Rattus norvegicus: one gene and its partners. The protein of the gene in region 1 purifies or fractionates together with the protein of each later gene. This does not show direct contact. Links are inferred from orthologs where the notes say so. Each region holds a gene or a part of one and is shown in the gene's direction. Other genes may lie near its edges.

Region 1 (8,522 bases):
CACAGTTTGGCTCCACAGGAGAGGGTGGAACTTCTTAATATATTCCCTGCATTGTTCTTTTTGCATACTGGTCCTTTGACGTTTGTCAGAGCAAAGAAACAAGTTCGGTTGAATTCCAATGAGCAAAGAAATTGTAAAAAAAAAGAAAGAAAGAAAGAGAGAAAAAAAGAAAAAAGAAATCATGATATAAATACAAACAGCTGTTTGGACTGATTGCTTCCTGTTTTGCACAAGTATATCTCAGTGTCTTCTATTTAAGATATGTCTCAAAACATCTCTTCTGTTTCACAACTACTGCAAAAATAGCCATGGAAAAGCCACGGTCAGTATGTCCCTATTTTTAACCATGAACTATATCCCCTAGCTATCATAACTCAATAATTGGGAAACAGTAGCATTGTGTCTCTGCAATTCTGAATTCTAGGGATTTAGTGGGGGGATAAAATTAAGATGGATTTAGCTGTTTTTTTTTTTTAACAGAAGCGCATCTGCTAATAATCCACTAACGATTTCAAGGAGCCATTAGATGTGGAAAAGGAACTTGCTAATAATTTTCATGGGTGCTTTCAAAGCATCATAGTTACTCCCTGACACTGTACAGGGATGGCAAGCCAAGGCCAGAGAAAAGTGATCTCCCTTGGGCTGTCTGCAGTCTGTACTCTGACTTCCTCCTCTTGGCCCAGTTTAGTCCAGACATTTCAACAGCTTGACTAAGCCTCATCACCATTCAGCTGCCAAGCTTAGAGGCTGCCAGTCTCACTAGTAGCTTTTTAAGTACAGCTGTTACCAGTACTATGTTTGAGTCAAGAAGACCAGACCTTTCTGGTCTACCCCACTGGCCAGGTTCTCTCTCAAAGGAGAATTATTTTTAATATTACTTCATCATTCTTCTTCGGGGAAACATTTTTTTCCCCTCATAAGTTTCTTTCCTTATGGAGAAATTACATTTATGCCAGAACTGGTATGCAACATCTGTTTCGGGTTAGTTTATGGAGAGATGGTTTTGAGAATAAATACTGCTGATAATTTTTTTCTTACATGGGGCCAGCAGATATATATGGAAAAAAAAACCCTTAAAGATTTGGTTATGAACTGAGAGGTTTTAAGTATGATATATATCCAGATACCATTTATAACTGAGTCGATCTGATATGTAATATATGTGCTGTGTGGTAATTATGTATAAATACTGAGTTATTCCTACAAAGGCATATAATTAATGCAGAGCATGAAGCTCAAGCAGCATTTGGGGAGAAAGCTCAGAGGAGAGATGAACGGAAAAGCAGTTAAAGGTGCTTGTGAGTGTCCTGAGCCAGAGGAGTCTTCTCGGGCAGGCTTCTCTGTTTTCCCATTAGCATTTGCTCCAGGCCAGAAGGCTGGCTTCTGGCACCTGGGAATAACCTTGCCTACCCACAAGGAAGGTGATATAAATTTAGAAAGAAAAAGTACAGTGTCTTCTGTTTTGACCCTCTACCCAGTCTTTGCAACACTGTATACTATTTGTCTGTAGCCATGAAGCCTTTACAAGTAAAAAAAAAAAAAAAAAAAAAAAAAAAAAAGGACACATTACATTAGTTTCATAGTTAGGGCATCATATAACACCAAAAGGATTCTTCCTAGATAAAGGCTTTGCAGCCACTAAGGATGTGGGAGTGAACTTTTGCCCAATTTGACCCTCAGTGTTCATTAGGTATAGTGTTCGCTTCTCGTTGGACTACTTTGTATGTAGATAAATTGGTAGCGTGCTTAAACTGGGCCACCTGTCAATCCACATTTTTCCAAAATGGCAGTATCAAACAGAGTAAGAACAAGCTCTGAGCCATGCATCTGGTCCTAGGTTGAACTTTACCTTGTAAATGTCTTTGAGTTTTTCTGTATGCTATGCCTATGCATGGCAACTCAAGTGACATTGTTCCTATGGCTGCTTTGGCGTGATGTGACCATACAATATAGTTCAAATGCCAACTTATTGGCTTTATCCTATCTTCATCTCATATACCACATTCAATCCTCCACAAACCCCTTTGGCTCTGTCATGGACATGTATCTGAAGTCTGTCTGGTTTTGCTACTGTCTGGTATTGCTAGCATTCTGGTCTAAGCCTGATCGGAATGTTTCACAGAGACCATGAATTGTCTCTTTTTTTTAACTTCTAGTTGTGTTATCCTACAGTTCATTCTCCACAGTTCTGTTTTTCTTTCAACTTACTCCTGTAATGAATTTCCACTTTATTCAGAATAAAATATAAGAGTTCAAATTTCTACACCTGTCCCTTTTCTGGTAGCCCATCCCCCATTTCATCATCTTCTCCCCCTTGTTCGTTGGTTTGGATTCTATCTGCATTGACCTCCTGGCTGTTTCTCCAACATGGCGAACCCACGTCCACACAGGGTACCTTTGCATTTCCCGTGTAAAACCTTCTACTTCCTGAGTCGCATGCCACCTTTTCTCACTTCTTCAGGTCTCTGCTCAAATTCCAAGTGATTTTCCCCTGATAAACATACTTAAAGGAACATTCACACCCCAGCTTTATTTCTCTATGAAATAGATATAGACCCTCTCCTCCCAATCTAAGAACTCGCCTGGCAAACCTGTACAGCTTAAGCTCTTGAACCAACGCTACCTCTTGAAATTTAATTTTCTTTCTAAAATTAAAGTTTGCGTTTTTTCCTAATTCTATTTTACATACTTGCATTCGTATGTGCGCCACGCTGCAGTATGGATGTCAGAAAACAACTCGTGGGGACTCAGTTCTCTTCTATCACGTGGGTCCTGAGAATCAAACTCCTGGCCCTAACTTTCTAAATCCTACTTTCCATTGTTTGAACACATTTGAGCTATAATACCGTTTTTTGTTTGTTTGTTTGTTTTGTTTTGTTTTGTTTTTTGGCTCTACTACTACCCTTGGCAGGAAAATGAAACCAGAGAAAGACCTAGTGATACCGAATGATTAGAATATGTGCTCAAGCGTGCCGCTGTATCTCACCGGCTGTTTCTAAGGAGGCGTTAAAGCTGTTCTTCCGAGAAAGACCATAAGTTAAACAACTGCCACTGAATGATTAGAATATAGGCATGACAGACTCTATACTGCCTCCTAGCTGGCTGCCCCAGTAGTTCAAATCTGGTTAGTGGAACAGTAGGAATCAAAGCTTTGCTTTTCAACAGCTCCATGTACTAAGGAGAGAACCATATTGCAAATATGTGACGTGTAAATTAATTTATGTAATGTAATAATTTTTGTAATGCCACTTTGTAAGTGTGCCTGTATCTCAAAGATCCTGCATACCTAGTACCACCTAGTTCAACTTTCGGAAGCGTCCTGAAAGGCATTCCTAATGCTGGGACACTAAAGTCTAGATTTGTTTAGCCAGATTCCGGGAAGACTCTCGTTTGCTTTCACTGACACAGTGTAGAGGTAGCTGAAACCACTTGGTAAAAGAGAGTGGGATCAAAATACGCCGATTTGAAGGCAGGGGCCAACCGCAGAAAGGGAGGCACACCCCAGTTCTCAGGAAAGTGGCAGCGTGGGCTCCCGAGCAGGGTGCGGGCGCGGGGAGGGGCCTGCGGCGGCCCGCCCTCTCCTCGGGGATGCCGGGATGTTTACCCTCCTGACAGCCGCGGCAGCCGGAGGAGGAGCACAGCCGGGAGGATGGGCCGCTGCTAGGCTCGCAGTGGGAAGCGCCGGCCGATCAGGGTGGGAGCCGGCGCTTGCAGTGGCGCGGGCAGAGGCGATCGGCCCGGGATCGCGCAGCCCTGCAGCCCGCGTGGATCGAGCTGCCCGGGCGCCCTGGTGAGTATGCACGGCCCGGCCGGGTGGGGCCGGTGCGGGGAGCGGGCGGGCCGCGTGGGGCCTCGGACTCGCGTGCCTCTGAGGATCCGCCAGGCCGCCTACAACTGGTGGAGCGCGGTGCAGGCCGCTGGCTGCGGGAGCTCAGACCCCGGGCGCTTCGACCCCCGGGAAGCTCCAGCTCTGCGGTAGCGGCGGCAACAGGTCTCCGGGCTCGGACAGGAGGAACTCCAGTGAAGACCCGCCTCCGGGCAGAGCTCATTGGTCACCTTGGCTATTTACCGATCGCGGATTGGCTCAACCGATTAAGCTGCCGCCCAGTTTAGAAAAGTGAAGTTCACAGACTGTGAGTGGTCGGGTAGTCAGGTCGAGGACTGATTGAGACCGATTCAGGGCTAGGATGCAGCAAAGTATGAGCTGAGCTGAGTCACAGATGGGACGAAGGTGACGTTAGAGAGGCCATGGGGGGATGCTGCTGAGCAATGTCGGCTGCCTCCGCCTGGGGCGGAGACCCTCAAGAGATGCATTTATTGACACACATACTGTACTCGAATAGCCTAAGTCTCTGCCCGGGCTAGACACTAAGAATGTATTTACTTTAGAGTAAGATGTGTTTGTGCCCTTTACGATTCTGGTGATGGAACTGAATATAGTAAAACAATCTAGAGATGAAATGACTTTCCCCCTCTTTCTTTGAGACTACTAATCTTAAAGGTTGTAATAAAAAACAACCAGATGTCCGCAGCTAACAGAGTATTATTAGGACCACTCTTTAGTTTCTCCTCCAAGAAATCTGCAGTTCCCAGTAGACACGTTGTCTACAGCCTTTCACGGCGGTGTGCTTTGGTAGGCTGCCTTTCAGGATAACGTTCCGAATATGCATATTATAAACCTGTTCTCTTCTAGATGATGGGATGTTGTGATCCAAGAAAGACTTAGTACCCACACTCAAAAATTTGTAGTTTGGGACAACCGGACAAACTCTGAAAATGATGAATAAAAAAAAAATACAGCCTGCAGTGCTGTGTGGCATTTCTTGCTTGTATTCATGGCTGCAGTATTTCGTGATGGCCAGTGCACTTGGTTGAACTGGCTTGCAACCTAAGCAGTTATTTCATTTTCACAGCACTCTGCCATCACTCCGAGAGATCCGGTCCATAATTTGCTTTACATCCCAAACCGTTGCATCCTCTGTTTTGGCTGGTGGGGGGAAAACTTTACTTCTTAGAGAGGCAGAAAAGTGGATATGAGAGGAGGGCCTTCGGAGAAGAGTTCGGGGCCGGAATGGAGGGGAATCTGGACCCAGTGACCATGCAGTCCTCAGATTCCACTGCAAGGTGGGCGTCCCCGCCTTCAGGGCACTGACAGCCACTGCAGCCAATGAACAGCGAGGACACCCGGCCCTAGCTCAGGAGGGCGGGTACTTCCTACTGCTGCCCTGGACTAGGAGAGGGAGGCCAAGTTTCTTTGAGGATGTGGGCCTATGGAAAGAAGGGTTGAGAGGCTCAGTCTTGTATAAAAAACAGAGGAGAGGGGGCCTCTGGTTTTCTTTGCGCCCCTTGTTAACTTTCAGGATTCGGGCTCAGCTTGGAGTCACAGTTTCCACTGAAACCATTGTACATAAGAAACAAACCTGGTCAGCAAATTAAATATAGTCCGTGACTGACTGGGGCTTTTGCCCGAGATCATCTGAAACTGAAAACCAAGAACTATCAGAAGAAAATTCATTAGACACTTTTATGGCAGCGTGGCAGTTTTAATACGGTTAAGGCAGTTATCAGTTTAAAGAGTCAAGACTGCATTTTTTTCAGACCTATTTTGTAATCTGAACTACTAAAGTTTATTTATCTGGTTAATACCTGTCTCCCGCCATTCCTTTCCCACAAACGCCTTCTTCGGTGGACACTTAAGTTTCTTTCCAGCCTAATAAAACCGAAGAAAATCACCCCTGTTTATGATGGCTGCACTAGCAGAGGAGGGGAGCAGAGGCCGCTGACAAGCCTTTCTTTACTAAATTAAAACCCAGCATCTCAGTTTCAAATAAACCGAAGTGTACAGCACTTACACTCTGTAAAGATAAGTATTGCCAGGACTCCCCTCTCAATTCCAGACTTCTGATGATTGCAGTTGATGCCCCTCAGCCTTGACTTACTACAAACATTAAGTATTATGCATTTACTAAAAATAGAATAAAGTAAAATCCCAGTGATTTTACTTATTCTGTGATTAACAGTGATTCTGTTATTATAAGAATTTTTAGGGTAGCTATTCTCATTTTCACCTTTTTTTTTTTTTTCAAATACTTGATTAGTGTGTGGGCAGATATTTTACTTCACAATCTAAACCGTAGTACAGTAGCAAACTTACGGGTAGTTCTGAAGGTGTGGGAAATTTATAGTTTAGAACTATATGACCTGGGTGGTTATTATTTACTCCGAATTGCTTTATATGCAATTCTACAAATATTGTAACCTTTTTCTAAGAACCATTACTTTAAACTTTTGAAGTTGTTCCATTTTAATTCTTCCTCCTACAATTTATTTATTCATGGAGAGTATAGCCGATATAACATTGGATATATGATTATACCCAAGCATATGTGTTTGTGGAATATAATTTTATAATTTACACTTAAATTTTTTTCTTGGCGTAGGGTTTTACTCTGCTGGCCCGGAACTTACTTTGTGTATAGCTCAGGTTGGCTTTGAACTCATGCTCTCCTCCTGCCTCAGCTTCCCAAAGGCTGAGATTATAGGCATGAGTTACTGTCTTTGGCTGAGAATTTCGAAACTTATATAACTTACATAGCTGCAAAACTTTTAAACTGCTGATTTGTTTCCAACTGACAGTTTGGTGTCCCTATGGTGTTACCTATTTCTCAAAGTATTTTCTTCCTTTTAAAGAAAACAGCCTCCGTTATCGTTCATGGTTTTATGGTGAGGATTGGGAATGAGGGCAGATGCTAAGGAACATCTTTTCCCATTTTTGATCAGGATAAATGATTTTTTAACCTTTATTAAAAAAAAAAACACTTTGTCCTAATGTGTATATAATGACCAAATAAGATGAGCTTTACTGGGGTTAATAGCTAGCCGCAGTGTACACATGAGGAAAACTTACTGGTTTATAAAAGTGTACAGATGTCCGTTTTATATGACTCAGTGGAAGTCGTCCCTTTTGCATGTTACCTACCACAGCTCCTGAGTGGACAGTAGTTAAGAGCTACTTTTGAACTCCAGGCTGCTTATGTACAGATGGGTTCACTAGCCCTAAACAATATAATAAGTATTAATAAGTCATAATAAGTATTTTTGACTTCCTGGGCTGTATTGTCTCTGGGAGCTCCTGCTTTTATAGCCACAAACACTCCCCATATATGTGCATGTAGCTGTGCTCCAATAAAACTTTATTTATATAGAAGATAACATCAAAGGCCTACGCACGAGTTTTAAGCCATTGGGGTTTCCAGCAACAGTGCGCTGTGAAAGTTTTTATTCTTAGAACGTGTGTCTAACGTCCACTGAGCATTACCTGATTTTGCTTATTGGTGTTCATAACCACGTGAGCCACTTAGGTTGGTTATCCTGCTGTGAAGGGTAAGGGGATAAAAAAGTACTCATTAGACCAGAACAGACGTAGAGAAGATTTACTAGAGAAAATAATCTGCAAGAAGAGACAGAGGTGCAGGGGGCTAATACTCAGAATAGCTTCGAGAGGGGATGGGAGTTGTCTTTGCAGAGCTTTAGACAGCCTTGGCCTCTGGGGACCCCAGACTCATCCTGTGACATAGAAGCAGTGTGTGAGTGAGTGCTGTGTCCTGTTTCCTCCTTGGGAAACTCAGGTAAGAGGTGATGCCAGCCATTTATCCGCTCTTTTGTGCTCTTTAGTCAGTGATAGTCCTCATATGGGTGAGTTCTGACAGGCTTCATTCGTGAGTGCTCATTTTAGCTACTGTCCCTATGACTGTTACCGTTAGAGGGGCTTTTCGGCATGTGTGATTTGATGAGCCTTTTTAAAAATTGTTATTAACTTTTTAAAGAAGAATGAACGGAGGAGAATGAAAGTACATTCTCATGCGTCTGTAATCCTAGACAGGGTAAGCTGAGTTGCTGAGTTGGAGCAATGGGAGTGCCAGTGCAGCTTGGTCTGTGTAATATCTCAAACGACAAGCACGCCTACAACCGAACACCACCTCCAACTCCTTAAAAAAAGGGGGGGGGGAGTGGACTTAGTCTGTCTAGTGAAAAGGGAAAATAATAAATAACTAGAAAGGGGCCTGTTGTCAAGGAGCGTGTGGCCATAGGGAGAAGTAGGGCCTCCTAGTTTAAGAATGAATTTTGGGCTGGCTGAGGTGCAACTCTGGAGAAGCAGGGAATGCAGTGGAAAATGAAACACCTTTGCAAATCACACAGCAGAACTTGTTCGCCCCGGCCGGGAGTGGATCTTGGTTGTAGGAATTTCGACTTGGTAAGTCCTCTGGGAGGCCAGGTGGAAACTGGGCATTTTAGAGCTTGTGGCCAGTGGCCTTCAGCTACAGGGAACATCTTTACCTGAGCCCCCTGCACAGGTATTCTCTTTTGCTTTGTTTACCTTGATGTGGAGAAGACGGTGCTCAACGCCCTCTGTGTGTTTCCTCCTTCTTCTGCTTTAAAATCACCTGTGTGGAGTTTGTCAGACTATGGTTTTTCCGACTCTCATCAGCTTGCTTTGAATTGTAAATGAGAAGTCTTTGTGA
Region 2 (7,909 bases), on another chromosome or scaffold:
GCCAGCTCGAGCTGCTAGTGTGTGGAAGTCACTGCCTCAGTCAGCTTAGTATGGATCTCACAGGAGGCACTGATCAGACAACAGTTTCTACACGGGGAATAAGAACTGTAAAGGGGAAGGCCTGGGCCTTAACATACCTTCTTTGGAGTGGGCAGTGGGTGTTATTCTAGAATGGGACTATCATTCCCAAGCCTTAAAGTCTGAGAGCCCCAATCTTCTGCTTTTCTCCGTGAAAGTGCATTTCCAGAACTATAACAGAAAGAACTTAGGTAATAGGTACTCTGGTGATAAGTTTTTTTATAGGGTGAAATGACAAAGGATCAGTGGCAGTGATGTCCTTAGTTCCTTTCTCTTTGCTTGACCACTCTGCATAACTCTGAAGGCAGACTGTGTTAATTTGGTGCCTCGTGGTTAAGGTGACTCAGCCTCATTTCTACTAATAAACTAGGCCAGTTAGTCTTTTCTGTGCTGGGTCCTTTGTGCTGTAGGGTGTTTAACCCGCTACCTAGACCTAATCTACTATGTGCCAACAGCTGGCTACTTCCTAGATAATATAACTGGGGAGAAATGGCAAGACCTTACCTAACTCCCCTGCTTGATCATGGTTGGTATTGCTGTAGGTACAAAAAAGATTATTGGCCTTGTCCAGGAGGTACTGGACAGGTGAGAGCATTAAAATAAAAGGGTTATATCAGTCACTTTTACTTTTTTCCCCTTTTCTTTCTGTTTGTTGTTTGTTTGTTTCTTTTTTAAAATTTACTTATTAGTCTGTAACCACAGCCCATGGAATGCTTCCCACATCATTTTACCCAGTCTAGAAAATTCCTCAGACCTGTGCAAAGGTATGTCTTTTAGTTGATTCCAGACCCTGTCAAGTTGACACTCACGATTAACCATCACAAGACTCTGAAGCAGGGTGGAAACACTTACCTGGGGATGACTCGAGGCAAGTGACTCCTGCCTTCTGGAAGGGCAGCTTGTCCTACCAGGCCTAGCACCTGGCTCTGACGAAGCCACATGTGAGATGCTGGTTATATCTAGCATAACTTGTGTTATTTAGGAGAGAGTTAGATTTGAATAAGAAGAATGGTGGTGGCTGGACTCCGCTGATGTATGCCTCCTACATTGGACACGATACCATTGTTCACTTGCTGCTCGAGGCAGGTGTGAGTGTGAATGTGCCAACCCCAGAAGGACAGACTCCACTGATGCTGGCCTCCAGCTGTGGTAACGAGAGCATCGCCTACTTCCTGCTCCAGGTGAGCTGTGAGTGGGCCCAAAACCCCAGGTGCTCCCTGGTTGCCCTGACAGGATATGAGATGCTGCAGGCCACAGTGTGCATATACGCATAGGTCAGCTGAAGGTCCAGTGGATGCTTCCCAGGCACCCACCCAGATTATATATTTTGGAGACTTGGGGCATAACCCACATTCTATTCTTTTGAAGCAAGGTGCAGAGCTTGAGATGAAAGACATCCAGGGCTGGACTGCACTCTTTCACTGCACCAGTGCCGGCCACCAGCAGATGGTCAAGTTTCTTCTGGAGAGTGGAGCCAATGCCAACGTGAGGTGATTGTTGCAGCCACGTGGTCATAGGAGTGGGCTGGGTTTCTGAGATCAGATGGGTGGTTAGCAGAGAGGAGCTAGGCAATGAACAAACCAAGCCAAGATTCCTACATGCAGAGCATGTGTGCAGGCTCAGGCCCAGGCTCTCGTGCACTTAGAACTGCTGGGATGTTGAGATTGGGCTGGGGGGTGGCAGTTCAGTTGGTAAGGTGTTTGTTGCACAGGCATCAGCTTGATCCCCAGGGACAGGAAAAAATGTTGCCGTGGTTGTGTATGCTTATAACCACAAGGCTAGTAGGAAGAATAGGCAGATGCCAGCCCAGTCCACTAGTCCAGTTGGTGAACCCTAAGTCGTAGTAAGAGAGCATCTCAATAAAAAAAAAAAAAAAAGGTAGGTGGTTGTCAAGAAACAGCACCACTTCCAGCTTCTGCACTGTGCACACCCACCCATCCCGCGCTCACCCTCACTACACAAGGACACCAAGGAGATGAGGTGGAATAGTCACGAAGACCACATGAGATTTAGTAACTCCTCTGCTTCATTAATAGTCCATCTTCCCTTCCTCAAAGCCATTCCCACTTCATTCTAAATCCCCACTTTAATCATGCTCAAAAAGCATCTTCTGCTAGGCATAGTGGAGCACACCCTTAATCCCAGCACCCAAAAGGCAGAGGAGGATTTCTGGCCAGCCTGGTTTACACAGCGAGCTCCAGCCAATGGACAGCCAATGCTACCTGAAGAGACCCTGTCTCAAAAAACATACTAACTGAACAAGCAGATGTTAAAACATACTAACTGAACAAGCAGATGTTAAAACATACTAACTGAACAAGCAGATGTTAAAACATACTAACTGAACAAGCAGATGTTAAAACATACTAACTGAACAAGCTCGTGTTAAAACATACTAACTGAACAGGCTGGTGTTAAAACATACTAACTGAACAGGCTGGTGTTAAAGCAGCTACTGCTCTTCACTTCTCACAGATGGTGATGTCTCTTCCCAACTGTCCAAGTCTTATCTATTGGGTTCAGCAGCCCATGAACTGTTTCTGTTAAGCCCATCTGTGTTCTCAAACAGCCCCTTCACTGTTCCTCATTCTCTGCTGAAATAGAAGCCAGGAGTCATGCTAAACCTGTCTCTCAACCATTGTAAGAAACAGTTTTCAACATCTCTCAAGTTAGAATATAGCTTAGAATCATTAGACAAGTTGAATTTTAATTAGTAGCATTTTATTTCTATTTTAGAGTCATTCAGAATTATATCGTGTCTCCCAGCATGGGTACCAAGAGCCAGAATTTGCCGTGCCAGCTTAAGGTGGCGCTCAGTTGGTACTTGCTGTGAAGGGGGATCATTACATAACATGCACCAGACCACAGTAGCTTCATGTCATGAAAGTCATGAAGGAGACTAGGGAGGTGGCTTAGTGGGCAGAAGTGCTGTGCAAGCCTGACAACTGTAACTGTAGGATGCAGTCATGTGGGTAGTCTGTAAGCCAAGCACACAACAGGAAGTAGGAGGGCAGAGACTGAATCTCCAGAAGCTAACAGGCCAGCTAGCCTGGGATACCCAGCAACCAAGAAACCATGACTCCAGCAAGGTAGAAAGGCAAAGATCAATACCCCAGCAGTTGTAACAGCACGAGAGCCTAGGCCTGAGCCTGCACCCCTACTTTGCATGTAAGGATCTTGGCTTGTTTTGTTCATTGCCTAACTTCTCTCTGCTAACCATCTATCTGATTTCATCTTGCAGGGAACCTGTATATGGATTCACTCCTTTGATGGAAGCAGCTGCCGCTGGCCATGAGATAATTGTGCAGTATTTTCTGAATCATGTAAGTACCTATTTACTACCTTATAATTTACTCACAGCAAATGGGAAACTATAAACTCTAACTGGGGTTTCTTTTACATGTGTAGTTAGCATATTGTATATATGCACGTGTATACATGTGGAATAGAGGACTGTAGGAGTCTGTTTTCTGGGACGTGAACTCAGACCGTAGGATTGATGGCAGGTGGTTTTACCTACTGAGCTATCTTGCTACTTTGTAGGCAGTACATTTTCACTGAAACATACAGTGCTGAGTAAAAATAGACACCCACATTTATGTATTTACAATGATTTTGAAAACACATTAACTCTATTCCTGGTGCTGGAGATTAAGCCCAGGTCTTTGCATGTGCTGTGTAAGCTCTCTATTGCTGAGAGAGATCCTCGGCCCTTTTAAAAATGTTTTATTTTGAGACAGGCTCATAGTAAGTTGTCTAAATTGGCTTTGAACTTGTGTAGCCCAGGAAGACTGTAAACTTTTAATCCTTCTGCTTCAGCTTTCTGAGTAGCTGAGTTACAGGCCTGTGGCCTGTGACAACCAGGCAGTGTGACTAGAATGACAAGAAGGGAGGGATGGAGTATGAGTGACAGTGTCCAACATGAACCTCAGCAGACTTCCAAGTGGCATCGCTTGTCAGGACACAGTCTGGTAACTCTAGGCCCAGCTAGCATTACTGTAGCATGCGTCAGCCCTTGTCTCAGTAGGACTGAGAACTGTGTCCACACAGAATTGTACACAGTGTCTACAGCAGGAGTCTTCCTAAGCACAAAGGGGAATCAGCGTGCATGCTTTGGGATTTACTTTTGCTGTTTGCTGTTTGTTACTTTTGTTTTGCTTTCTGGAGTTTGCATCAGATGTAGCCCAACCAGGTCTCATACCTACTATCTAGGTGGTAAATGGCCTTGACTTCCTGATACTCCTGCTTCCACTATAAGTACTAGGATTATAGTCATGAGCCACCACCCCATAATGCGTGTTTTCTCCACGGGTTTTGGGTGTCCTTCCTGCACTGCATCCACTCCTCCCTGGGGAGTGGTGGGAGGTATCTTATTTGCTCCCACTGACACCTACTGCAAGTTCCTCTGAACCGCAGTGTTACTTGGAGTTACGCTGTCAGTCCTTAATTATCAAGTTAAACTCCTGGAAGAGACTCTGGGCCAATTTTTATTTTCTAAATTCCTTGTCATTTGTCCTCAAAACCTTGCTGGGCAGCCTGCCACCATGATATTAGACTGTATTGTGAACACTTTGAGAGGAGAAATCTATTGCATTAGGTTCAGAATAAGGATCTTCCCACCTCAGGAAACCTAAACTGTAATCTCGTTAGGTTATTCTAGCAGGAGGATTGTGAGCTCAAGGCCTGCCTAGAATCACAGTGAGACCCTGTCTGTTTCAACAAAACACCAATAGTTGGAGGTGGAGGCAGGAGAATCAGGAAGTTAAGGTTGTTCTTGGCTACATCCTGTCTCAGAAAATCAGGGACAACAGACATAAGTTCAGTTTGGGAGGATGGAGCCTTCTTTCTGGGGGTGGGCTGAATGGTTGTTTGGTTCTCTACTAAGAGACAGATATAGTAGGTGTAGAGGGTGAAGGTGGGCCTCTGTTGCAGGTTCCAGGTTTTTTGTGTCTCCTTGCCTTATGGCAGGCAGTATTCAGGAGGGAGAGTGGCTGCCGCTGCAAGATGGCTTGGTGACTGCTCTTGGTGATGGGCTTGTTGTCACCAGACCTTTTCACTCCTACCCCTCCACCCGAGTGTTATCTCAAACAGGGGGTGGGGAGTTGACCATAAATGTCCTTGTTTTCTCATCCCTCTGGACCAGCAGTCCACTTAGCTGGAAGAATTTCTGACTCTTCTTTTGTGAACCTTTTTAGGGAGTCAAAGTGGACACAAGAGACCACAGTGGAGCCACAGCCCGGATGCTAGCCAAGCAGTATGGTCACATGAAGATTGTGGCTTTGATGGAAACTCACTCACCTGTACTGCCCAAGAGCCTCTACCGTAGCTCAGGTACCTGATCTGCCTGTGTCCTGATGGAGTTGAGGCAGCCCTGAGCAGTAAGGAAACTAGGAGACAAGGAGGGCCTCTCCCCAGTCCATCCCTTTGCTCAGGTTGGGCTCTACCAGCCCTGCTCTGAGGCCTTCTTTTCTTACCAGTTCCACTGTGGAGCAGAGGTTGGGGTCCAAGGCCTAGGGCCAGAGAGATGCAGACTTTCCCACAGAGAACAGTGTCTGTCAACTGATATCACGCACAGCACAGGCTGTGGAGCCTAAGGAAGAAGGGGAAGAGATATGCCTCACTCACAGAGAGGCCTCTCTGGCTTTTAGTTCTTGACTTTGACAATCTCGTGCTGTGTAACTTTTACCTTTATGTGAGCAGGTGTCCTTTCTTGCCTCTGGATGTTGAGTCCTCACCAGTGTTTCTCAGGGCTGTGATGGCCATGACCCTTCTAGCCTGTACGCTTTCATCTTTTACGTGTACATGTCTGATCCGTGATACTTGTTTCTCCTTTCCAATTGTTCACAGTGTTGCTGGAATTTCCAACCCCAGTAAGCCCATGTAAAAACCACACAATCCAGCTATTATAATTATCAGCCACATGCCTAGATTGTGCAGATCTAGCACTATACTAACTTATTCTGCAGCCAGGAGACCCTTTGCTATTTGTGGTTCTCTGAGCCACATGGTTCTGCTCCATCATGGCCACCTCCTCTCCCTCCTCTTCTTCCTCCTTCTCCTCTTCCTCTTCCTCCTCTTCTTCCTCCTCTTCAGTACTCTCCCTTCTCATTCTCCTCTCTTCACCTGCCCCCACTCTTTTTTTTTTTTTTTTTTTTTGGTTCTTTTTTTCGGAGCTGAGGACTGAACCCAGGGCCTTGCGCTTCCTAGGCAAGCGCTCTACCACTGAGCTAAATCCCCAACCCCCACCTGCCCCTACTCTTAAAGATCTCCTGTCCCACCTTTCCCCTCCACTGCTCAATCACAGGCTCTAGCCTTTATCGACCAGCTAAAATGGGGAGAAGGTTCACAGGAAATCAAGTACATGATCGACTGGTCATGGGGACAACCCCTGAGGAAGTGGAATTAACATCAGAATACAAATAGCACTAGGACAGCCCTCAACGATACAGTTGGGACAGCATGACTGACATGTACAGTTGGGCCAGGATGATGGACATGTACAGTTGGGCCAGGATGATGGACATGTACAGTTGGGCCAGCATGATTGACATGTACAGTTGGGCCAGCATGATTGACATGTACAGTTGGGCCAGCATGATTGACATGTACAGTTGGACCAGCATGATTGACTTGGCTCCTTAAAAGGTGTTGTTTTAATTAAGATGGTTGAGGGCTGGAGAGATGGCTCAGTGGTTAAGAGCACTGACTGCTCTTCCAAAGGACCTGAGTTCAATTCCTAGCAACTACATGGTGGCTCACAACCATCTGTAATAGGATCCAATGCCCTCTTCTGATCTGTCCAAAGACAGTGACAGTGGAATAAATACATGGAATAAATAAATAAATCTTTAAAAAAAGAAAAAGATTAATTAAGATGGGTTGAAAAGGTGTATATGATGGTGTACAGCTACAATCTCAGAATTTTGGATTGAGAGGCAAAGTAGAAGGATACAAATTCAAAACCAGTTAGGAACACAGACTCAGTCTCAAAAAAACAATGAGCACATATCAAGGAGACTACAGGAAATGTGTAAATTCACTGTTTCTATGGTGTCACCTGTCCATCTAAGAACACAGGGCATGTTTTATATTTAGTATACTTTTGGGACGTTGAGGACGGATTAAATTTTTCCTGATATATATTTTGTGTATAGCTAAGTTTATTCTGAAGTGTTTGTCATCCTTTCTGCTTTTGTATATGGGTTCACTACAGTTATTTTCTTTAACTTCTGATTGAGGGTTTGCTCCAATTCTTGGTGTGTCCATGCAGGAGACCCTGGACTCCCACACTGATCTTGTCAAGTTAGTTTCTTCTCCATTTGTCCAGTCTGCAGACAGAGCTCACCCTTTGCTTGGCATGCTTCTGTATCTTATTTCCTCCAGTTGCCAGTGCTTCTAGGATGGCGCTAATCATTGTGCACATCCTTTCTTCACACTGTAACCCAGCCTGGGGCTAGCTTGGGAAAGTGTGTGTACCTTTCACCATGTTAAGAAAGTTAAGCCAGATGGTGGCTCACGCCTTAAATCCCAGCACTCTGGGAGGCAGAGGCCGGTGAGTCACTATGGGCTTGAGGCTAGCCTAGACCACAGAGTGAGTCTGCAGGACAGTCGGGGTTAAAGAAACCCGTCATGAAAAGGACGGAAAAAACCAAAAGAATTAATGAAGGTTTCAGTGCAGTGGCCTGCCAGTTGTAATGTTTCGAGTCCAGTCTTGGTAAACTTTTCTTGAGACAGGATCTACCTCCCATATACTTGAATTAAGGGTATGGCGGGAACTACCATACACCAGCCCAACACATTTTTCTAATTCAATATTATTAAGGTGGTTTGG
Region 3 (7,909 bases), on another chromosome or scaffold:
GATTTAGGACAGGCTGGTCCCTGAGCTGCCAGCTTTGTGTGTGTCTTTGGGTGTGTGGACTGCCCTCAGTGTGGTTGAGTAAGTGGGTAGGTTGTAGATGAGGATTTAGGACAGGTCTTGCTGCTTTGGTGGCTGAGTGACAGCAGACACCTGGACTTCCACTGCGTCTGTGTGGCAGGACTGATCCTAGGGCTGGGCACTCTCAGGTCCTGGTAGAGATGGGATCCTGGTACCTTGGGTAAGTGAAGTGAGGTGGGACAGTCAGATAGGCAGGACGTCCCTCAATGCCTTCTATGGCTACCTTTCCTAGAAAATGTCACTAATGCCAAGGGCCTGGATGTCAGTGCTCATGTCCCATTCTCTCGGAAAATACTCATTGACCCCTTCCTTAGTGGAGCATAGAACAGCAGGCACAGAGCACCCAGGAGACGAATGTGTGCTCTGGGAGCCGGGAAGGCCACCAAGAAGGAGGGAGATGGGGTGAGGCCTCACTGCTCTGCTCACCTCAGGCTGAATATTTTCTACAGTGCTAAGTATGCTGAAGCATGTGAGGGTAGGGCTGTGTCCCGCAGAGGCTCATGGGAGAGGCAGGAGGATCTCTCCCAAGGACATAACACTTCTGTGGACTCTTCTTGGCACACCCTGGGTTGTAGCTGCAGCTCTTCAGTCTCTCTTGTCAGAATTGCCTGTGTCCCAAGGAGGCCTGAGAGTGTACTCAGGGAGCATCTAGGTGACCCAAGCAAGTTCTTGTTCTGTTCTTCCCTCTCTTCCTCCCTCCCTCCCTCCCTCCCTCCTTTCTTTCTTTTTAGAAGATTTTATTTTTAGTATGTTTATGAGTGTTTTACCTGCACATGTGTACAGTGTTTGCACAGGCCAGAAAAGAACATCAGATCCTCTGGAACCAAAATTGCAGACCACCGTGAGCCGCCATGTGGGTGTCGGGAACCAAACCTGGGTCCTCTGAAGGAGCAGCAAATGTGTCTAACCTCTGAGCCGTCTCTCCAGCTCTATGATTCTGTCCCCTTAAGTTCTTAGCACAGGCACACCATTGCTAAGTATCTCTGAGTGGTGGCCCTTGACAGTATTCATAGGTTGAGGACACTCACCTGCCGTCTGAGGCCACCATCCAGCCGGTTGTGGCCTTTCTTCCTTCTGAGTGCTTCCAGTGTGCTCAGGCCAGGACTGAGGACAGTGCAGAGGACGGCAGGAGTCAGTCAGTGGATCAACAGTCAGTGGCTAGAGTGAGCTTGCATGCCTTGTCTGAGGTACACTGTGGCTTTCCCAGCTTTCCGTAAGGGGTTTCCTTAGCACTTCCTGGAGGGCACTCTGGTTTAGAGATGGAAGTCAAGCAGCCAGTGTCGGGGTGGTGCTCCCTGGCCCAGGCTGAGCTAATGGGTTGTTAGCAGATAGGATTAAAAGCTCTTTGCCACGGGACCCTGGGGGTCAGTGAGACGGGCACGCCTGCGCCACTGTGCTGTGTGGTGAGGAAGAAAGGCCCTGTCCTAACTGTCTGGTTCACCTTGTACTCACAGGCTGCTGGCAGGCCAGTCAAATTCCCCAGCATCTCCAGGAGCCCCACGTCCCCTGCCAGCTCCGGGAACTTTAACCACTCGCCTCATTCTTCAGGGGGTGCCAGTGGCGTGGGCAGCATGAGCAGGCTGGGGGGAGAGCTGCATAACCGCTCAGGTAAGCAGTCACAGGCCGCTCCAGAAAATGGGAGAGTCCCTGGCCAGTCCCCTCCTGTCCCCTGCTCCGCCTACATGCAACACCAGAGGCTGCTGTATGGCTGTACGCCATCCCCTTCTTGGTGCCGCTGGGGATTTTTTAATGAACTACCAATTCAGGGTTGCCTTTGCTCATTTTCCCGAGATGAGGCTAGAGGGAGAAGGAAGAAGTCAAGCCCCTAATGCTTTTCTTATTTCTTATAAAATGTTATAAGAAATGGAGAAAAATGCCAAGGGTTTTCATGATGTACAAACTGATTGAAGGCTAAGCCTGGGGAAATTTCTCTTCTGTCGTTGGTTGAACAGAGTAGGATTCTGAAGCTCCAACTGGGCAAGAGATGGGCCCAGACTTACCCAGCAAGCTGGAGGCAAGGAAATGTCAAAGCAGGGGGCCCCATGGTTCTAGGCTACGGCATACTCACAAGTCCTCCCAAAGATCTCCAGGACTAAACAAAGACGGCTCTTTGAGAGGGCCCCCACCCATGGCAGCTACTGCAGAAGACGTCCATGCGTCCATGCGTCTGGGAGGAAAACGTGAAGACCAGATGAGCCAAAAGACAAAAGGGGCGGGGGGGGGGGCATAAGCTCACCCATGAGGGCTCACTCATCACTAACATCTTGCTGTGACTTTGCACAGTGTTTTATTTTGTGCATATTATGAATATTTATACAGTCAGAATGATTTGTTGAACACTCTGCCAGGCCCAAGGCTGAGCCATTTCAATGGTCCCAGAATAATCCCTTTACATTGTTGTCTTGTCAGCATGCTCCAGGGGAGGGAGCTGGGCTCCAGCGACTCCCCCGAGCTCATACAGCTCAGAGCCCTGCTGTGCAGGGTGGGATGGAGTGGGGATGGAGTGAGGGCAGGAGGGTTTTAAGTACTCTCAGAGCTCCCTTGGAGTGGCCACTTCTTAGTGAGCTCTGTCCACGACTGTCCTATATTCTTGCTCATGCAAATAATGTCTCCCAAAATTTAAACAAACAAACAAACAAACCTGTTTTCTAATTTATTTCATGTATGAGTATTTGTGTGGGTGCATGTGTAACTTGCCCTGAGTGTGGAGGTCAGAGGACCATTTGTAGGAGTTGGTTCTCCTCTTATTGCTTGGACCATTTGGTTTGTCATCTTGCTGCCCCCAGGAGATATCTTCAGGTTTGCTCAGTGAGCTCTGTAGCCTGAGCTCCAAGGCTTAGTCAGCTGTTTGCCTTTTAAAAAACATGAATGTTGCCGGGCAGAAGTGATGGTGGTGGAGCACTGTCCAACACGGGGGGGCAGGGGCAGGGGCAGGGGCAGGGGCAGGGGCAGGGGCAGGGGCAGGGAGATCTCTGCGTCCTAGGCCACCCTGATCTACAGAGCAAGTTCTAGGACAGCCAGGGCTACAGAGAGAAACACTGTTTTGAAAAACAAAACAAAAACAAATAAAACAAGAAAAAAATAGAACAGGCCCCCACCTCTGAAAGAAGTTAGTGCTGTTGGCTAGCTTGTTCCTAACAAGCTTGCTACTGTTGTGTTATACCCCTCATTCACTTTTCGATTTTTATCGTGGTCGGCTATCACTAAGCTGTTCAGGCAGGCCTTGAACTTGCAGTTCTTCTGCCTCAGTCCTCCCAGTACTCTCTGCATCGCCACATCCGGCCGGTCAGTACATCCCACCTTCCGGTTCCCTGTGGAGCGCTGGCAGGTACATCTGTTCCATGAATACCTCCTGCCAGTGGCTCAGCCCCAGGGGGTAAGGGTGTGCGTGTGTGCGTGTGTGCGTGTGTGTGTGTCTGCTCATGCATGTGTATGTGTCCATGTGTCAGTCAACCCCTCTCCAGGTTACAGTATACTCAGAGAAGCTGAGAGGGAAAATGGCAGTTAGGGTGCAGTTAGAAGCCTAGAGCTCAGTGCTCATAGGTTCTATGGCATTAGGGAGTTACACATGCTGGGCCTGAAGGAGTGAAGACAAGCCAGCTCTTGTCACCCTGCTTCTCACTGTGGCGCTCAGCCCTCCTGCAGCTCCTTTGGGGCCCTGTGTAGAACTCTTACAAGCCTGAACCTTGAGACAGCTCACAGTCCCCCACGAGGCAGGAAGGACTTGCCACAATGCTCACTCCTGTCTCTTGTCTCCTCAGGTGGCAGCGTAGACAGTGTCCTCTCCCAGATCGCTGCTCAGAGGAAAAAAGCGGCTGGCCTGTGTGAGCAGAAGCCCCCCTGCCAGCAGTCCAGTCCTGTGGGGCCAGCGACCGGCTCCAGCCCACCTGAGCTGCCAGCCTCCCTCCTGGGCAGTGGTAGTGGCTCTTCCAATGTTACTTCCAGCAGCAAGGTGCTTGTTCTCAGGATGCCTGCGGCACCTGTACAATGTTCTCCCATGGCCCACATGCAGCGCTGGGGTGTCGGGTTGGGAGTAACCTCACAGGCATTGCAGTCATGGCCACGCCTAACTTCCTGCACAGGTCTGACTCTGCCCCTGTTGTCCCATGTTCACCCACCTCTTCTCCAGGGTCAGGGGTGGGAGGTGGGGGTGGAGGCACTGGAACGGGCTCAGGTGCACACTTGCGTGTGTCCGTTCTGTCCTCTGTAGAGAGCAGAGGGTTAACACGGGATGGGACAGCCTGCTGGATTAAACCGCAGCTCACTGAGCAACCCACCCCCCCACCCCCAGGTCTGAGTCTGTCTTAGCAGATGTGTGAGAAATGGTTCGTTTCTGCACAGCCTCTGCTGGCCCCACAACTTTCTTACCCCAACTCTCTTGCACAGAGAAACCTCATAATTTAAGTTCCTTTTATAATTTAGTTCCAGAAGTTTCTCCCCAACACATGAGTTTATTTCTGTTATGTTCAGAATTATTTATGTGAGGGACCTGTATAATTAAGTTTATTTTAGAGTTCAGCTATAGACTCCTCCGAGATCTTGATGCATTTTCTTTATAAGATATATAAAGTTATATAATTAGTGTATTTCTCTTTTCACATTTTCTATATGGCCACTCCCAGCTACTCATTAAAATGAGTCTACTAGCTGAGGGCTTTGAAATAGTTTTCTCCTTTGTTGTCTAAAATGTTCTGTTCTATTCTGATGGTTTCATTAACTGCGTTAAATACCATTTAGCTTTCTGTCACTGATGTTGGAGACAGGCATGTAAGCTGTTAACTGTTACCACCCTGGGCTGCACGTGGTAACTTTAACAACATACAAATATATCCTGGTGAAAGAAGTTAGGTGCCAAAAGATAGGTCCTAGAGACAGTCGGTGGAGAACGATCTAGTTCCGAGGTCTCCTGATGCTTGGTCTAGTGATAACTCTCCACACCTTCCTGCTGCCCCTGACTCTCAGGGTAGGTTCTAAGGAATCAGTTCCTGCCCCCGAGAGAGTCCGGTTCAGCTGCAACTCTTGGAAACCACTGCCCCAATCAGAGGACACTGAAATGGGCGTTCCGTCGCAGACTCTCTTAGTAAGAAGACATGAAGTGCTTTTCAATGGCTCCCTCAGGAAGAATAGAAATTAGTTTTCAAAACGGGAGCCTCCTAGATTTGGATTTTGTCCTCTGTTTTAAAGCAGGAAGCTCACTGCTGTGGTGGGGTATGCATGAGGCCAGTCTGGCTTGTACCCCAATCATGGGAAGGCAGGAAGGGTGAGTGGGAGCGAGGACCTACCTCCTCATCTCTGAAGGAGGGTTCAGCCTCTCTCTCCATCCCAGAGCTATAGCTCACGTGTGCTTAGCTGCGAACCTTCATCAGCAGCTGAATCTGAGCCTCTTTCCTGACCCACTGTTGGCTGGTTTTGTTTTAAATTTTCAGTCATTTGAGACTTTTCCCGAGTCTTCCTATTACTGAGGCATAGCTCAGCTCTGCTGTATGTAGGTCTGTTTCCCCCCCTGTAGGTGTTTCAGGGTCTGTTTTATGCCCTAGAGTGTGACCTGTCTTGGTGAGTATCCCATAGCCACTTAAGAAAAGCATCTGTCCTCTTGCTGCCTCTGGGAAAGGGGCTATGTGAATGTCACTCTGGGGACTGTTGTGGGGGATAGGGGTGGGGGCTGGTCCATGTGTTCCATATCCTGATTGGCTGACTCTCATCAGTCACTTAGAGGTGTGACAGCATCTGTAACAGAGTCAGGTAAGTTCTCTCTTCAGGTCTGTCACTTCCTTCCCCACTTAAAGTTCTATACACCCTTGGGACTGAAACGGTTTGGTTGGTTGGTTTGAGACAGGAACTCATTATGTAGACAAGGCTGGCCTCAAACTCAGAGATCCTTCTGCCTCTGCCTCTGCCTCCCCAGTGCTGACATTAAAGCTGTTCTGTAGTATGCTTGGTGGTTAATGTGTTTTAATGACCCTGTATTACACTATAGGGTTTCTCTATCCCCTAAGATTGGGAGCAAGGTGGATTTTTATGATACTGCAAGAAAGAATGTAGCCCCAATAATCCTCTTAAACTCTGGAATCTTCCACACAAGTCAAGTCCAGTGGTGGGTGAAAAGGACACCCCTTCCAACTGAGGGGCTCCTTATGCGAGTTAGAGTCAGCATTAGAAAAATCAGTGACTTTGGCATACCATATAAAAGATGAACGAATAAATGCAGGAAAAGCGTCTAACATTCAGAATCCAGGGGCTGGAAAGATGGCTCAGTGGTTAAAAACACTGGCTGTCCTCCCAGAGGACCCAGGTCAGCACCCACATGGTGACTCAGAGCCATCTGTAACTCCAGCCCCAGGTGATCTGATGCCCTCTTCTGACCTTCTAGGACACCTCGCACGTTTGTGGTGCACACAGAGCAGCTATGGAGGGGATTTCCCGAATTAGGTGAGAAATAAGTATAGCGGGACCACTGTTGCCAAAGACCAAGCACTCCCTGATGGGGAAGCAGGATGCCGGAATACAGAGGGGCTTACAGCTCACAGCCTGCGCTAGAGACTGCAGTCAGTGTCACCAAGGAAGGAACCTAGCTCTGCCCTTAGACAGCATGTCTGTCCGTATAGGAAACCAAACGGAATCTCTACAGATACTCATGGCTAATAAACTACTTTAGCAAGGTCAGCATAAGAGACTCTGGGCTGGGCTGTCACTCAGAGAACACAAGGTCAATATATGAGGTCAGTTGCATTTCTTTATACCAATAGTAGACAATTAGAACTTTTTTAAAGTTAGCTTTATTTTGTGTGTGTGAGCATTTTGCATGCATCTGTATCTGTACCACGTGTGTTTATAGGTGCCCAGAAGGCAGAAGAGAATATTGGGACGCCAGGGTTAGTGATGGTTCTGAGCTGCCATGTGGGTGCTGGGAACTGAACCTGGATCCTCTGGAAGAGCAGCCAGTGCTCCTAACCACCGAGCCATCTCTCCAGCCCCAACAATTACAATTTTTAATTTGACATTTTATAAATATCATTTACGTAAGACTATATGAAAATGAAGTGTGTTTAAATTTAGTAAAACGTGTAGAATCTGTAGGTTGAAAACTGGAACACTGGTAAATCCCAGAAGCTCAATTCTGTGGAGAGATGGGAGGCGCAGTGTTGTTTAAGTGTGAGCCCAGGCTTCCTGGCCACCAGTCCGTGCTGCCCTGCGTCTAAGTCTGTGATACAGCATCACAGTCCTGGCTAGGTGTGCCGTTGACTGGGCACCGCCATGTCCCAACATACAGCATCCATCCTCATCCCCTGTCCTACTGACTGATGGCTTCTATTTTCTTTTTTTTTTAATGCCCTGTGCAGAAACTGGACCCTGGCAAACGGCCTCCCTCTGGAACTTCTGCTACCTCTAAAAGCACCTCTCCCACCCTCACGCCTTCCCCCTCTCCCAAAGGCCACACTGCGGAGTCCTCAGTGTCTTCCTCCTCGTCCCACCGGCAATCTAAGAGCAGTGGGGGCTCTAGCAGTGGCACCATCACCGATGAGGGTGAGTCCCCAGGGGTCCCAAATCCACGCCTGTCCCTCCCCCACAGTGACCTGGCAGCGTCGTGCCAACCGAGGGCACACATCTCTTCCTTCCCTGGACATAAGCACACAAGTGGGATTTGAGTGTAGGCTGTTCTGCTGGTAGGCAGGCATCTGGAAGGCCTTTCCCAACCCACTTGCTCCCGCTCCCTGTGCAGTGCACAGGTCGGCGTCCTCACAGTGCTGAGGAAGGAGGCTGTGTTCAAACCAGCTTAAGAAAAGAAATTAATTGGCTCATAAGGCGGATGCTCGGGTCAGGCTTCAGGTGT
Region 4 (7,909 bases), on another chromosome or scaffold:
CAGGGCGGAAGGAAGTAATCACAGGAGATAAGGATGCCTGGGGTGGTGTTATTCAGTAGTAGAATGCCTCCTTGTTATGTACAGAGACCTGGGGTCCATCCCTACAGCACTGGGCCAGTTGGAGTTGAGGAGGTGTGTGGCAAGGCAATGGTGACCCAGGAGAAAGAGATGGAGCTATGAGGCAATCCAATTGCCTGTCATTGTTCCTGTACCGAGAATGGGTACAAGAGGAATGAAGAGTTAATCTCAGCAATAGAAGCCCTGACTGAGCAATTTTAGATCTTTTTCAAATTAAAACGTTAAACCTTTCAGCTATTTATTTTGTGTGCTTGTATGTGTGTGCTAATGTGTGTGCACATGTGGAGGTCAGAGGACAATTTGTAGGGTTTGGTTCTTTTTACCGTGTAGGTCTTGGGGATTAAGCTGTTACTCCCTGAACTGGCTCTTTCTGGCTCTATACTAGGTAGTTGGTTTTGTTTGTTTGTTTTTTGTAAGATTTATTTTGGACTGGATGTAGTAGTACAGGCCTTTATTTCCAGTACTTGAGAGGCAGAAGCAGGTGGATTTATTCAAGTTCGAGGCCAGCCTGGTCTACAGAGCAAGTTCCAGGACAATCAGGACTATGTAATAAAGAGATCAGGTCTCAAAGAAAATCCAAAAAGCAAAACCCAGAAAGCAACACAAATTTTACTTTATATGTAGGAGCGTTCTCCTGCATGTCTATGTGTGCACCATGTATTGGCAACTGAAGAGGCTAGAAGAGGGTATCGTATTCCCTGGAACTGGAGCCACCATGTGGGTGCTGGGAACTGAATCCAGGTCCTCTGGAAGAGCAACAAGTGCTCTTAATCACTGAGCCACCGCTCCAGGAGCCCTGTACAAGGTGGCTTCAGTGGGTTTTGTTTTTCTTTCAATAACCCCATGACATAGTTCCTAGTACTGTTGGTGCTTTCAGGTGAAGGACGAGAGACAGGGCGTGGTTCTAATTACCCAAGGCTCTCCCGTCAGGGCCAGCCAGAGTAAGAGCAAAAGGCCAGGCGAGACTATAAAAGTATAGCCATGTGATGTTGGCTTTTATATCTAGATTTTAGGCATAAAAATTGTCATCAATATTTGATGTTCTTTTGGGGGTTGAAGTGAGATATTATGGGAGAATTGGGCAGAGGTTTGGGGTTGCATGAGTGTTTAGATTTTTGTTTTGTGATTCCATTACCAGTGGTGCTCTCTCCTCTCCTCTCCTCTCCTCTCCTCTCCTCTCCTCTCCTCTCCTCTCCTCTCCCCTCCCCTCTTCTCCCATCCCCTCCCCTCCCCTCCTCTCCCCTCCCCTCCCCTCTCTTCTTCCTCCTCTTTTGTCCATCCTTCTTTAGATCTCACATATCCCAGGCTGGCCTCAAGCTCACTGAGTGGCTGAGGATGACCTTGAACTCCTGATCCTCCTGCCTTCACTTCCTGGGTGCTAAGTATGTGTACTAACACCCCACCTGGCTTATATGCATGCTAGGAAGATATTCTACATCCCTGACATTATCTTCCAGAATAATTCTACATCCACAGGAGTATGTCCGTGTCTTTGATCTGCTTTGTGTGCTTTGTGTGGGAACTTTTGTTATATTCCTAAATTTCCCCTAGGAGGAAAGTCTATACCATTGGGATTCATAGCTCTTGGCTGTAGGTTCCCATTGGCATCACCTTGGCCTTTTCCATGGGTAATAATGCCTAAGCCTCAGCACAGAGTAGAAAGAACTCCTTTGAGTAGGGTATTACCCAGCATTTTCAGACCTCTCCATGTGAGTTCAGTAAGCCATGGTTCTGAACTACTTAACTGACTGACAGTGTTCACTTGTGAAGACCTGGAAATCTAGACAGGACAGCACAGGAAATGACCCTCATGGGTTTCATACGTCCAGCTGAGCTCAGGGGAGGGTGAACCTGTCAGGAGAGCATTGTGACTCTTGCACATAGACCCTAAGTTAAGGTGCCAGAGACAGCCAGGGACAGGTGACAACGGCAAAGGAAACACCGTTTGATCTCATCTGTTCTCTAACGGATTTCTGGGCCTGGGAAAGACATTCTGAGCTTGGGGACGCAGTTCTGTCTAATGATTGACAGCTTCCCTTTGAAAGCGAGGTGAGCGGGGTTGGGGATTTAGCTCAGTGGTAGAGCCCTTGCCTAGGAAGCGCAAGGCCCTGGGTTCGGTCCCCAGCTCCAAAAAAAAGAACAAAAAAAAAAAAAAAAAAAAAAAAAGAAAGCGAGGTGAGCAGAATCATGCCTACTAGGCTTTCAATGCCATAGCTATCAAGATCTGCAGCTCTTGAGCCATGCTTACTCCCCTATCCCCCTACCTTTTTTTCTTTTTTTTTCCTCTTTGAGATGTGACCTCATGTAGCCCAGGCTGGCTTTGAACTCATTGCGTAGCTGAGGATGACTCTGAGGTACTGATTTTCCTGCCTCCATCTCCCAAGTGCTGAGCTTAGAGGGATCTGTTCTCATGCCTGGCTAAGCCACATTTAATTCAGAAGGAATAGGGAGTAGGGGGGCCTTTGACCTACCCCAAAGACTAGACTCCATTCTATCCTTTGTGTTAGGACATTTTATGTATTTTGTGTTCCTGTAAAATTGTAAAAAAGCTTTCTTTTACTCCACACTAGATCCAGCACCTCAGTGCCCCAAGATATTTGGTAGACATCTTCATCTCAGTCAGCAAAGCGTCTTACCCGCTCTGCTCCATCCCATATCACACTGCTGATGGCTACTCTCTGAGCCTGGCAGCAATCTCTCTACCCATCTAGTTTTCAAAGCAGGTTGCCACCATGCCAGAAATATACATCCCAATTCCGTGGCAGCCTAGTGTCTTTGGCCACCACATACTCTCTTAAACTTAAATCACCACAAGAAAGAACACACAACACAATAACCTCTGATCCAATTGATAAGGTATAATTGCCCACCTAAACATACAAAGCCCTGTACACATCCATCCCTTAAGAATATTCATAACAACCTGTAAATGTGCAGAGAGGAATCTCAACATCTGCCTCCATGTTCTCTCCGCTGCTTCTCCTGACTCCTCCAGTCTCCTCCTCTCTCTAAATCTTTTCTCCCGCCCATCCTTCCTTCTCATCCAATGACAGGCCTCGTTCTATCCTGTACCTGCCTTCACCTGTATGACATCCTACAACTTTGTGTTTGTTTTTTTTTTGTTGTTGTTGTTGTTGTTTAGATGATGCATGCACGTCTAATCTCTCCATGGTGTGCCAGGAAGACAGCCTTGAAGAGGAGTGGATAGGTTTGCTGGGATATCTCTCCCGCATCTCGATTTGTAAAAAAAAGAAAGGTATGCATCAACCTGCTGTTCTCAACTTTGTTTTGAGACTTGGGACAGGGGACTAAGGAACTAGAAAGCAGAGACACTTGGCCACTCTACAGGGAAGGAGGCCTGCCTCAGGAACTCCACCTTCACTGAAGAAGCAGATGCACATTTTCATGCCTTCCTTCCTAAAGTCCTGGGGAAAGGGTTTACTGCAAGCAGATATGGGCTTCAGACTAAAGGTATAAAGGCTTGAATAACATTTTCTGGCTGGAGGCTGCAGTGCTGACTTTCTGCCCTATCGTGAGTGGGAAGTGATTGACACCAGAATTTTGGGGACCTGATAACACTTGAGCAATAGGGACAAATTACACCTCCTATTTTTCTTGTATTTTTGGTTGTGAGCCTAGCCTTTAACAAACTAAGGCCCCGTCCATCTGAACCACCTATTTTTCTAAGCCAGTCCTTCCTTTCTCTAGAGCATAAGCCACTGGCTTTCCTTCTAGGCACGTGGCCATGCCTCTGTACAAATTCAGAAAACAGTAATAGATATAATGAGAGATCCCTGGAGAGCACATTGCCACCGGGGCTTATGGACTGCAAGCACATAGGCTTCAAACCAATCACAGAATGGTTGGCTGTTGCCATAACAGTTGCACCACCGCTGCATCAAGGACTACACCTCGCTGTGTACAGTTGAACGTTTGGCGAGCACGTTGCTCTCTATCTAGTTGGCAGTCAGCACTCTGCATTTTGTCATTGTTCTCGAATCCTCATAATTCTTTTTTTTTTTTTTTGGTTCTTTTTTTCGGAGCTGGGGACCGAACCCAGGTAAGCGCTTCCTAGGTAAGCGCTCTACCACTGAGCTAAATCCCCAGCCCCAATCATAATTCTTAATGTTCCTCCTGTAACAGCACAGGCCTGCTGACCGCTTATTGTTGGGGAATAGATGTGTGGGCTCTTCCTGGATTCTGCCTTTCTGTCTCTGCTGCAGATTACTGTAAGATATACAGAAGGCATGTGAGAAGCAGGTTCTACTCCATCAAAGACAGGAATGCACGTCTAGGTGAGAGCGTGGACCTCAACAGACGCTACACCCAGCTCCAACTGGTCAAGGAGCATCCAAGCAAGCAGGAAAGGGAGCATGAACTCTTGACCATTGGCAGGACTAAGATGTGGGACAGGCCCATGAGCTCCCTTAAGCTGGAGCTGCTCTTTGAGCCTGAGGATGAACACTTGGAGCCCGTGCACACAGTGGTGTTCCAGGGAGCAGCAGGCATCGGAAAAACAATCCTAGCCAGGAAGATTATGTTGGACTGGGCCTTGGGGAAGCTCTTCAAAGACAAATTTGATTATTTGTTCTTTATCCACTGTCGAGAGGTGAGCCTCAGGGCACCAAAGAGCCTAGCAGATCTCATTATCAGCTGCTGGCCTGACCCAAACCCACCAGTCTGCAAGATCCTGTGCAAGCCTTCCAGGATCCTCTTCCTCATGGACGGCTTTGATGAGCTGCAGGGGGCCTTTGATGAGCACATCGAGGAGGTCTGCACAGACTGGCAGAAGGCTGTGAGGGGAGACATTCTGCTAAGCAGCCTCATCCGAAAGAAGTTGCTGCCTAAGGCCTCTCTGCTTATTACGACGAGGCCAGTAGCCTTGGAGAAGCTGCAGCATCTCCTGGACCACCCCCGCCACGTGGAGATCCTAGGTTTCTCTGAGGCCAAACGGAAGGAGTATTTCTTTAAGTATTTCTCAAACGAGCTGCAGGCCAGGGAGGCCTTCAGGCTGATCCAAGAGAATGAGATCCTGTTTACTATGTGCTTCATCCCCCTGGTCTGCTGGATTGTGTGCACAGGGCTAAAGCAGCAGATGGAGACTGGAAAGAGCTTGGCCCAGACCTCCAAGACCACGACTGCCGTCTATGTCTTTTTCCTTTCCAGCCTGCTGCAGTCCCGGGGGGGCATTGAGGAGCACCTCTTCTCTGCCTACCTGCCAGGGCTCTGTTCATTGGCTGCGGATGGAATTTGGAACCAGAAGATCCTATTTGAAGAGTGTGATCTGCGGAAACACGGCCTGCAGAAGACCGACGTCTCTGCTTTCCTGAGAATGAACGTGTTCCAGAAGGAGGTGGACTGCGAGAGATTTTACAGCTTCAGCCACATGACTTTCCAGGAGTTCTTTGCGGCTATGTACTATCTGCTAGAAGAGGAGGAAGAGGGGGTGACCGTGAGGAAGGGACCAGAAGGCTGTTCAGACCTTCTGAACCGAGACGTGAAGGTCCTATTAGAAAATTACGGCAAGTTCGAAAAAGGCTATCTGATTTTTGTTGTACGCTTCCTCTTTGGCCTTGTAAACCAGGAGAGAACTTCTTATTTGGAGAAGAAGCTAAGTTGCAAGATCTCTCAGCAAGTCAGACTGGAGCTGCTGAAGTGGATCGAAGTGAAAGCCAAGGCCAAGAAGCTGCAGAGGCAGCCCAGCCAGCTGGAACTGTTCTACTGCTTGTACGAGATGCAGGAGGAAGACTTTGTGCAGAGCGCCATGGGCCACTTCCCCAAAATTGAGATCAACCTCTCTACCAGAATGGACCACGTGGTTTCTTCCTTTTGCATTAAGAATTGCCATAGGGTAAAAACACTTTCCCTGGGATTTCTCCACAACTCACCCAAGGAGGAAGAAGAAGAGAAAAGAGGAAGTCAACCCTTGGACCAGGTCCAGTGTGTTTTCCCAGACCCTCATGTTGCCTGTTCTTCCAGGTAAGGAAATTTGGCTTCAGGCAGATAGTAGCTGTAACTTTTGCTTTCTGGCTACTTTTCTTGGTCCGTCCATCAGTCCTTCCTTCCTTCTTTCCTCTCCTCTATTTCCAATTATTTTACAAATATAATTGGCGAGCTTCGTGATAACGTGACTGCCACCCTTTTGCTGAGAGCGGCTTACGCTAGGTAGATGAATGGGATGAAAACAAAACCCAATAAACTAAGAAATAAGCATCTGGGGAGAATATGGCTTCGGCGCACAGTATGGGGCACGTTGTGGCATCGCGTGGCTATGTCTGTAGACACCCACTGCTTGTACTTTAGCTTACATCTAGCACACTGGCTGTTCCTCAACCCACGCTGCTATATGGATGCCCTGGACTAGGTTATTTTTGATTTGAAAGGCATATGTATTACAGTTGTGGAGGATGGGAGGTGTAAAGACAGGGTCCCACAGGCTGGATTTACCTGGCAGAAGGAAGAAAAGCAGCTCCACAGGTCTCCCTTGCACAAGATGCTAAGATTCTCTACGAGGCCCTGCCAGCATGGTCAAGCATCCTCCTCCTGATCCCGTCCTTCTGAGACGAGGGTGTCTATCTGTTTTTTTAAGGGTAGGGTGAACATGCAGACTGTGCCAGTGGGAGAGGGGAAGAGAGAGGAGGTAAGGGAAGGCAGACTTGCTACTTCAGGGCCTAATACAAGGTGGAGAGAGGATGAAAGGCCTGATAAGGACTGCACTCTGATGAGGAAGGGCAGGGACTCTGCTACAGCCATCGAGAAGAGAGCTCTTACTTCAGGCAACGGCCATTTCCCTCACACCATAGAGGTTTATCACAGAACCTTCCAAGAGGACAAGCTAAGCGCATATCCCCCATCAGAGGTCCAGAGTCAAAAACCCAGACCTGCATCTATACAAAGAAACTGCTCTTTTTTTTAAAGCTAGGGTTTCATGTAGTCCAGGCTAGCCTTGAACTTGAACTCAATTCTGTAACTGAGAATGACCTTGAACTCTTTATCTTCTAGCCTCTGTGTTCTGAGTACTAGGATTAAGGGCATTGACAAACATGCGCTGTTGTTATGTAGTGTTAGGGGCCAAATCCAGGGCCTCAGATAGTCAAGCCTCTACCCCTGAGCTACGTCCAGTCCTGAAGGCTCTCTGCATTATAATAACTGCTACGGGGTATTCCAATGGGACTCCCTGGAAATGACTATTGTTGCTTCTCTCCTCTGGAAAGAACAGTGGATCTGTGACTGGTGGCTTAACACTTAGGAGACAGTTAGGTGCCAGGACCCCTGTCCTGAGCTCTGGTTTGTTGTTATTGGGAAATAATGTTCTCTTCTGGCCTCCTCCCTTGCCATTCTAGACTGGTGAACTGCTGCCTCACCTCTAGCTTCTGCCGAGGTCTCTTCTCAAGTCTCAGCACCAACCAGAGCCTCACTGAACTGGACCTCAGTGACAATACTCTAGGGGATCCAGGCATGAGGGTGCTGTGTGAGGCACTCCAGCACCCAGGCTGTAACATTCAGAGACTGTGGTAAGTCTCTGTGTGCGTGCGTGCGTGTGTGCGTGCGTGTGTGTGTGTAAAAATGTATGTGAGAGTGAGTGTGTAAGTGTGTGTGAGTGTGTGAAAGTATGTATGAGTGTATATGTGTGTGTGAGAGTGTGACTGTGTGAGTGTGAAAGTGTGAGTGTGTGCGTGTGAGTGTATCTCTGTGTGAGTGTGTTCGTGAGAAGGATTGGGAGGAGACAGTAGACAAAGATGGTTGATAGGTCAGGTCAGTTGTCCCTAGAACTACTGTAAAAAAGGACCAAGGGCCAAGCCCTAATGGCTTTAATTCAGGTTTAATATTA

The links.
Region 2: the proteins of Nek7 (region 1) and Anks3 purify together in Homo sapiens (affinity purification with mass spectrometry; 3 studies listed by BioGRID and IntAct, with this or other methods). This does not show direct contact. The link is inferred for Rattus norvegicus from reciprocal best matches to the Homo sapiens genes NEK7 and ANKS3.
Region 3: the proteins of Nek7 (region 1) and Anks6 purify together in Homo sapiens (affinity purification with mass spectrometry; 3 studies listed by BioGRID and IntAct, with this or other methods). This does not show direct contact. The link is inferred for Rattus norvegicus from reciprocal best matches to the Homo sapiens genes NEK7 and ANKS6.
Region 4: the proteins of Nek7 (region 1) and Nlrp3 purify together in Homo sapiens (affinity purification with western blotting; 9 studies listed by BioGRID and IntAct, with this or other methods). This does not show direct contact. The link is inferred for Rattus norvegicus from reciprocal best matches to the Homo sapiens genes NEK7 and NLRP3.

The regions. Positions count from the first base shown.
Region 1 is NC_086031.1:52,695,939-52,704,460, reverse strand, and holds the start of Nek7 (serine/threonine-protein kinase Nek7), read left to right. Parts: upstream 1-3,637; 5' UTR 3,638-3,790; intron 3,791-8,522. UniProt on the Homo sapiens protein: Protein kinase which plays an important role in mitotic cell cycle progression. Required for microtubule nucleation activity of the centrosome, robust mitotic spindle formation and cytokinesis.
Region 2 is NC_086028.1:11,126,021-11,133,929, forward strand, and holds part of Anks3 (ankyrin repeat and SAM domain-containing protein 3), read left to right. Parts: intron 1-767; exon of another isoform or gene 768-783; coding exon of another isoform or gene 784-842; intron 843-1,060; coding exon 1,061-1,259; intron 1,260-1,446; coding exon 1,447-1,568; intron 1,569-1,572; exon of another isoform or gene 1,573-3,244; coding exon of another isoform or gene 3,245-3,246; intron 3,247-3,319; coding exon 3,320-3,401; intron 3,402-5,273; coding exon 5,274-5,409; intron 5,410-7,909. UniProt on the Homo sapiens protein: May be involved in vasopressin signaling in the kidney.
Region 3 is NC_086023.1:66,115,778-66,123,686, reverse strand, and holds part of Anks6 (ankyrin repeat and SAM domain-containing protein 6), read left to right. Parts: intron 1-1,532; coding exon 1,533-1,686; intron 1,687-3,839; coding exon 3,840-4,030; intron 4,031-7,418; coding exon 7,419-7,602; intron 7,603-7,909.
Region 4 is NC_086028.1:44,829,672-44,837,580, forward strand, and holds part of Nlrp3 (NACHT, LRR and PYD domains-containing protein 3), read left to right. Parts: intron 1-3,220; coding exon 3,221-3,334; intron 3,335-4,301; coding exon 4,302-6,057; intron 6,058-7,421; coding exon 7,422-7,592; intron 7,593-7,909. UniProt on the Homo sapiens protein: Sensor component of the NLRP3 inflammasome, which mediates inflammasome activation in response to defects in membrane integrity, leading to secretion of inflammatory cytokines IL1B and IL18 and pyroptosis.